Linked DNA regions of Oryzias latipes. The protein of the gene in region 2 interacts with the protein of the main gene of each other region in a pairwise test. Links are inferred from orthologs where the notes say so. Each region holds a gene or a part of one and is shown on either strand. Other genes may lie near its edges. The genes, in order: ras-related protein Ral-B and exoc2.

Region 1 (4,497 bases), on a different chromosome or scaffold from region 2:
GGATCCAGCATCTACAACAGCCACAGCCTATGGAGATCAGGAAACGATTTACTATTCTTAAGAGGACGCCACGCAGCAGCAAAGAAAACATTTTCAAAAAGCATCGCACGACGAATACTAACAAGCCCCGGCAGCAGCAGCACACAGAGACGCCTTTGACTAAACTGGGCAATGAGACCTAAACCCCGTTTGTTCAAATCCCTCAACTTCAGCATCAGATGTGTTTGGTGTGGGGGGGGGTCAGGATTCAGAATGTGTGCAGAAATGGCTTCTGCGTTCACATCAGACAGCTGGCTCTCCCTCTGAAGCCGAACAGGACCGTGGTGTCCAAACACATCTGCCTCAGCAATCAAGGATCCAGAACAAGCAGGGAGGCGCTCGCGTTTCAGCATCGGGTTGGACACAAACCTTTTGACTTCTGCTAGGAGAATCGCTCCGTTCACTAACTGACAGGACAGAAGCTGCATTCCTTCTTTATCAGGGTTGTGTCCGAATTCCTTCACTACTCCCTACATAGTGCCCTGTATAGTGCCGTCGACATTTTGTGGTGCTGTCCGAATGCGATTCCAAAATGCCCTAAAAATTTCCCAGAAGTCTCTGCGAAAAACTAGTGTGCATCAATGCTCACTAGATTGGCGAATATAGACCACAATCCATTGCGTTGGAACAATTTACGCCCAAAAATGTAGTTAAATGTATTTTTTTAATAAACCATTTTTATCTTCAGAAAACAGTGGATTGATAAATTGCTCATATTAATACAATTTTAACAATGTGAATTTGATGACGTCATATCCGCCGTTTAAAAAAAAAAGAAAAGTAGTGAGCATGGTGTCCGAATTGCTTTTAAAATTCACGGCACTAGATTCTGCTGCACTATAAAGTTTTTTAGCAGTTAGGGGTTAGGGTGGGAATTGGGACAGAGCCTAGGTCCTGCAATGCCTTCAGTTAACCAGTCAGCAAACGCGAACAACGCTCCAGAGGAAACATTTTCTATTTGGGCCTGAAAGACCTGAGAGGGCTGAAGGTCAACTTCTGTGTTTACAGCTAAACACTGGTGTCTATTTATAAAATACTAGGATAGCGGGTTGTTTCGTGAAAGCTAACCTTTCCGTTTTTGCCATCAGTGCGTGAGAAACATCAGTGTTTTCAACGCTGTCCTTGACTGGAGCACCAAACAGCATCTTCAGAGAGCCGGTGTGTGAACATGTCAGTAAAAGGGTAGAAGGAGTGAGGAACTGTGGGAAGATGAAGATGTTATGGCTCAAAGTTTCAACGTTTCTCAGCTGGACTAGATATTTCCAACTGATGTCTGAGAAGTAAAGACCTGAAAACGACTTTTAACATTCTCATTCTTGCAGTAAAAATATTTAAAATTAGATTTGAAAAACTGGATTATATAATTTTTCTGCTTATGTGTAATAAGTTTTCTTTATCCACGACAAAACTTCTTGCCAGATGATTCTTTAGAAACACAAATACACACTAAATACTTTTTTTTCAATGATTTAGAGCTTCTTCAAAAAAAAAAATTAAAGATGATTACGTTTTATACAAAAAGCTTAAAATCAAGCAAAAGAGATGAAGGCGATAAAAATCGAAAAGCTTTGAAAAGTTAAATTAACACAATAAAACACATTATTGCTGACCTGTGGCGAGGACTGCAGAGTGGATCCAGAAAAAATGATTCTTATCTTTTTACAATCTGGTTACATCTGACGATTGGAAATAAAACAAGATGATTAGAAATATGACCAAATGCAACATGAGCCTTTGAAACTACTTGCTAATTGAGATGATCTACATGCAAAGTGTTTTGCATTAGTTGTTTTTCTAATTGAAAAAAGTTAGTTACACTAAAGTATAGTCTTCTGTGATGGGCATGTGTCAAAAACAGTTCAAAGTATCTTTAAGGTTTTGCAAAGGGACTGGAAAAAAGCTGAGTAAGGTCCTGGTTTTCCTGACTCTGCTGGGAATGTGCTGGGATCAGCATTGTCTGAAGGAGTCGTTTATGACGAAGGGGAGGGGGGCACGGGGGCGTCCGTGTGCAATTGAACACTGGCAGTTCATATCCCTGCTGGAACATTTAAAATACATTTTAAGGGATTCCTATTGATGGGAGTGTTCCTCAGACTGGGAAAGGTGTGTTTTGCTTTGCCAACAGAGTCCTTCAGTCTGACACACAACACTGTCATCTGCAAACATACAGCTCACTTTTATGTATTCGCACAGAAAATAGATTCAGCAACTTTTATTTGCATCTGATTTTCAAGTCTGCTAATAATCAAATGCATGAAAGGTGGTGGATCTAGAAAACACCTGCCGGTCGGTGTTTTTTATAGACTAGTATTGGCTTGTTATCTGACCAGAAATAGGTTTTAGTTTTGACATTCAAACGGCAACATGATGGCATGTCCTCCCATCTGAATATCATAAGCTGTTCGGTCAGAGAATATTATCCAGAACTCCCGTAAACATTAACAGACAGAAGCGGAACGACAGCAGTAAAGCTAGCGGTAGACCCGGACTTAAACCCGTTATTGCCTAGCAACGGCCGCGCAGCCAGGGAACTAACGGGAACGACTGAGCCAGTCCGCTCAAAACCACAAAACTGATGGATAACCGAACTTTAAACTAATTTATTTGAAACCAACAGACAGATGAGAACAAATAGCAATGAACACATAAAAACCTGAGTAGTTACGGCTCTGTCTGTCTCTCTGGGGCGGTCATCTCTCTGTCAGCCACCTTCCCTCCCCTTTAACATCACGCGACGCTTCTTTCTTTACATGTCCATAAACCCAGAAACACAAAGCTGCTTCACCTCTTCCAATCCGTTTGAACATGTCTTACCGAAAAAACACGTTGTACTTTCAGCCTTCAGAAGATGCTCTCCTCCCGGCTGCTTCCCTGTGACTGACAGAAGCATCGGAGCTACAAAACTGCTGCCAGCAGCAGTCCCCGCCTTCCGGAAGTCAATTCAGACCGAACGGCAGGAAGTGACGTCAGGACAGATTTCCGTTGGAGGAAAAATAACTGGACTTGCAAATACCTGAAAGGTTTTTTTCCTGGACGACAGAACAAAAACAATATACTGCAGAAATTTGAACAAAATGTTACTAAATAAAGAACCGCTTTCATGAAACTTCATATTTCCCCAAAAGTTAAAGAAACACACTTCAAAATTATGAATGATATTTATCCCTCCAAAGAATTACTTAGATTACGTTTCAACATTGATGACAACAGCTGTTCCTTCTGCCAAACTGCTGTTGAAGACATCGACCACACATTTTTCCTGTGTGGTGTTGTACAAGTGTTCTGGTTGGATGTTTGCAAATGGTTAAAAAATAAATTCCCATTCATCATGGACTTCTTTTCGAAAGAAGTAACAATCTTTGGCCTGTCACTACACAACAATGTAAATAATGTATGTATCAACACTGCGTTATGCTTAGCCAAGTTTTTTATACACAAAAATAGGTTACAGAAATGTCATCCCAGCTTTACTTTCTTTACCAATGAGGTCAATTTATACTTACAATCCATAACGTTAATCGATTCACCTAAAGCCATAACAGTTTATGACACCTTGCGTGATATTCCCAGTATCTGAGACAATTTATTTATCTGTTGTATTCCCCTGCATTTTGTAACACTATCCAACTCTGAAATTGTTGTTTTCTTATGTTATACTTTTCCCTAATTTCTCTATGATTATGAATATGGATAGGTTTATGTATGCATACTGATAAGAATTTTCTTTTTTGCTTCCTCTCAAATTGCGTTATGCTTTCTTGTATCCACCATATTTTGGGAATTTTATGTAAATGTTCTGGTGTTGTTTTGTATTGTGCTCAAAAATAATAAATAAATAAAAAAAAGGACTTGCAAATACCTTTTTATTTTTGTTTTTCGTAAATCAAATGTAGTTTACTGTCCACTGTCACTTTTTAAACTATTTGGATCTTTTACTGCACCACAATGTCACAAATGTAAATAAAAATACCTCAGCAGTTATTAGGTCAGATTACAAACAGGTAATCAGTAATTAATCCTTTAAAACAAAACGTTAGTGCTGTGTATGACAGCACTAACGTAAATCACAACTGATAAGGTCAAACAATACACTTAACAACCAAAGCTGTTTGGGTCTGGTGAAGTGGTTCAGGTCAATGATTTTGAAGGTGCAATAACCGTCTTCTCCACCAGGTGGTGCCAGAACATCACAAAATGACCTCTTTTTGTAAACTCTGGCTGTAAATCAAACTACATCATGTGAGAGAATTTTCACCAGGAGGGGATTTTCTTCTAAACGTCATGTTCCATTTGGGTTTGTTACGTCAAGGTCAGATCTCATTTTCTGTCCTGAAAGTCACAGAAACCGTTTGACGTTCTTGCAGTGTTTTTGCAGAAGGGAGTTGCTGCTAAAGGTTGTTGTCCAATGACAATAAAGTTATTTTTCTTTAGTCAGTTGGATGTCACACAGAAGGCACA
Region 2 (3,820 bases):
TATAATTTTTAGGAATTTAAGAACTTTGGTTATAAATATAATGATCAATGAATTACTATTTATACATTTTCAAAAGGACGCTGTTAGATTGAAGTTTTGATTACAAGAATAATTTATTATTCTTTGCATGAACTATTTTCATTTTTGATCTCTGTGATTAAAATTTTTTTAACATATTACTTTTTTAAAGATATTTTGCGCAAAAGTCAAATTCATTTAAACTTGTAAAAATTGTTTTTCTGTCTATGGATTTTATGGACCTTTAAAAATAAATTAATATTCAAACAAAGGTATCAATCTATTTTGGAAATGAAATGTTGTAAATCAGCTTTTTGTGCTTAAAGCATAAATAATCATCATAACTACTTTACATCCAATATAAATATTGTTTTTCTGTCACCCCCTCAAAAGTAAGTACTTTCATTCATATGAATGAACCTTTCTTATGTTAGTTTAATATTTCTTTCTTTATTTATTTTTTAGCAAATTTTTCTAGGCTAAGTTCTAAATGTTCTTTAATACGCACCATAATATTGCTTGGATTTTTTTTTTTTAAATGTTTAAAAGGCTTCAGTGTTGTCTTCTAAAACTATTTCCCCTGTGTGTTAAAATAACCAGCACACTTATCAAAGTTCACAAGTTCCTTCAATGATTAAAAAACAAAAAAAACGTTTTTGTAGCCAAAGAATCAAACAGCTGTAACAACATTAACTGGTACTCTTTTAGCAAAAACTGTGGTTATTCAATTTAGTGTGGAAAATCAGTTTGACGAGGACTGCAGCAGTTCTAGCTGTGAATTTATAGACTTTTATTTACATTGGGAACAACAAGAGCATCAAACATGGTGCAAAAGCATTCAGTGAATTATTTTTGCATCTCACATCCAAAATGGCTATTTTACTCATCCTTTTTACTCAATTACAATCCCTTTTACATTATCAGACAGAAAGGAAGGAGAGATATATTAAAACTTTGTAAATGAAACAATGAAGTAAGACGGATAAACACTAACAGCACTTTTAAATGTGCTTAAAAATAAGCTAATAAAAGGGTTATTATTATTAAGGATAGATCCAAAACAAAGAATTTTCTTGAAGTTCATACCAACTGTGTACAGTATTTTACTTCCATCCATCAGTTCCATCACCTCTTCTTCCAGTTTTTTTTAATCTTGAGTCTGTTTATACTCTCGTTTTTGCAGCCTTACCACTTTGAACAGTGCGTGGTCCAGATGTTGCAGTCCTTCAAAGAACCTCTGGAGACCAAACCAGGAGAAATCAATGTGAGATACTTACCCACAAATCCCTTTGGCTCAATAGATTCATTTCTAAAGGTTCTAGTGTATTTTTTTCTGTTGAGAAACCAAGCTAGAAAGGTAGTGCATAAAGCTTGAATTATTTGGTTCTGGGTTTGTTCCAGTGCTGTTGATATTCTTCCACAGGTGCTGCAGTTAGACCAGGTCCAGGACCAGGCAGCAGAGCTCATAGTGACCATCATGACGGTAATATGATATGCAGATGCCCACAGAGCCAACATTTAACTGGTTTTACTAAGGAAAAATGTTCAGACATGTCAGCATGATTTGAGTCCAGACATTTGCTGAGACATGTTAGTTTTTGTCAGATAACCTTATCTGTTATATTGCAACAATTTATGGAGTTACAGTATACACAAATAAATTTGTGACTCTGGCCCTAGGGCAATATGAAGCTTTAAAGTCCCACTCTGATCATCTTTTGTAAAAGTGTTCCCAGTGGTCTTTTAATTATTATTATGCCGTTTTAGCCAAAATATTCAAACCTGTGTTGTTTTCTAGGATATAGCTTCTGCAGAACAGCATCAGTTCATTAGAATTTCACGTCTGAGTTGTGGGCGGGACAGTCCCATCCCCCTTCCCCTCCCTGTTTCTGAGAGCTCTCTGTTTACACTCTCTCCCGCTAGCTTACAACCCCTCCCATCCCCAACCTAACATTACATTACCAGCATACCAAAAATGCTAAGCAATCTCAGAGCTGTCCAGCTATAAAGTTTTGAGCCAGCGTAGATTAGCAACCCTGCCCCCCTTCCCCTCCCGTTGCAGAGCAAAGCAGGAAACTTGTAGCCCCCCCCAGTGTATTTTCAACATCACAAACAAGTCTATTTCTAACGCCTCCTGCTTCACAATGACTTGAATAAAGAAATACTCAGAAATGTAATTTTAAGCTTAATTTTCATATTATTTGTCCTCCATCTTGAGAAAAATGAGAACCTGTTAAAATGACCAGAAACCCCATTTTCCATCGGAGTGGGTCTTTAAGCCAACTGACAGACACATGAGATCTTCAGCTACTATTAAATCTATTGACTGTTGCTGTAAAAACTGTGTTACGGTGTGTGTTTCTCTCAACACGCCTGACAAATGTGTTGAACTTAGGCTTTTATAAACTGTCTGGAGCAGCTGAGCATGAAAACGGATGGAGACATCCAAGTCTCTCAGTGAGTATCTTTTTAAAATGATCTTTGAGATGATTGTGCTTTAGGGAATGATTTTAAAGTTGTTGGTTTGTCTGCAGCAACATTTCTGTAGATCTGTCCTCTCCAGACCGCTTCGCAGCCGCCCACGAGGACTTCAGTCCAACTTCAGTAAGCAAAATGCCGTTTCTCTGACTTCCACTCAGCAGTTTGGGGTCCACAACTGACAGGGGCCAGAACAGCCTTTGACACATGTTGACGAACGCGGGCGGCACACTCGTCAGAACCACAAACCTTTATCTGTCTGTTTCCTGGTTGTGGACACGCAGCAGCTACGTCCTCATTTCCTGTAACTCGTTTTGAGAGGTTGGTGAAGGGGGTTAAGCGGTGGGGTGGAGGACGGGGTGGAGGAAGAGCAGGGTATGAAGTGCTTCTGGTAAAGGGAAATGGAGCAAGGTGCAGACGGGGCTTCCCCAGCCTGAATGTGTGCAGCGGGAGTCAGGCAGCCGAGCTCGACTACACAGCGCTGAAGACCGGTGTGAACTGAGGGGTCGGAGCGTTGCTCGATAGGGAGGTGCTAAACACGTAATCTCTCTTTTCTGTTTTCGTGTTCGCCTCAGCAGAGGATAAACAAGGTCTTTCTAGTAAAGTAGAGAATTTTTCAAAATAAAGCGTCAGCCCTGTATGAGTGTCTGTGGGTTTGTCCTTCATTAAAATGAGCTTTTGTGTTATTTTGTCAATTATCATTTTTTTATGTTGTGGTTGAAAGTATACAAGTATACAAGACAATAGGGAAGATTTGAAACTATGTGATGATATTGTACTGTTATGCAACCCGAATCTGAAATTGTGTTGATCTGAAAAAACACAAAACAGGCCTTGAAGCTGCAAATGCATTGGTCTCTGCTTCCGCTCCTCTGAAGAGCCAAAACTGCTGTGAAGCTCTCCACAAATGTGAGCAGGATGTAAACATACAGTGGTGGACAAGATTGTTGGTACCCCTCAGTTAAAGAAAGAAAGTCCACAATGCTCATTGAAATGACTTGAAACATTCAAAAGTAACAATAAATCCAGAGTGGACTTCATGGGAGGTGACCAAGGAGGACACCACTGTTGAAAGGAAATCATAAAAAAGCCAGACTGGAATTTGAAAAAATGCATGTTGACAAGCCACAAAGCTTCTGGGAAAATGTCCTTTGGACAGATGAGACCAAACTGGAGCTTTTTGGTAAGGCACATCAGCTCTATGTTGGTAGACTCAAAAATGAAGCATACAACGAAAAGAACACTGTCCCTACTGTGAAACATGGAGGAGGCTCAGTTCTGTTTTGGGGCTGCTTTGCTGCATCTGGCACAGGGTGTCTTGAAG

The links.
Region 1: the proteins of exoc2 (region 2) and ras-related protein Ral-B interact in a two-hybrid assay, tested with the Homo sapiens proteins (2 studies listed by BioGRID). The link is inferred for Oryzias latipes from reciprocal best matches to the Homo sapiens genes EXOC2 and RALB.

What each region holds. Positions count from the first base shown.
Region 1 is NC_019870.2:7,306,724-7,311,220, forward strand, and holds the start of ras-related protein Ral-B, read right to left. Parts: upstream 2,997-4,497; 5' UTR 2,854-2,996; intron 1,716-2,853; exon of another isoform or gene 1,650-1,715; intron 1,239-1,649; exon of another isoform or gene 1,108-1,238; intron 1-1,107. UniProt on the Homo sapiens protein: Multifunctional GTPase involved in a variety of cellular processes including gene expression, cell migration, cell proliferation, oncogenic transformation and membrane trafficking.
Region 2 is NC_019862.2:21,224,505-21,228,324, forward strand, and holds part of exoc2 (exocyst complex component 2), read left to right. Parts: intron 1-1,201; coding exon 1,202-1,282; intron 1,283-1,441; coding exon 1,442-1,501; intron 1,502-2,413; coding exon 2,414-2,475; intron 2,476-2,552; coding exon 2,553-2,622; intron 2,623-3,820. UniProt on the Homo sapiens protein: Component of the exocyst complex involved in the docking of exocytic vesicles with fusion sites on the plasma membrane.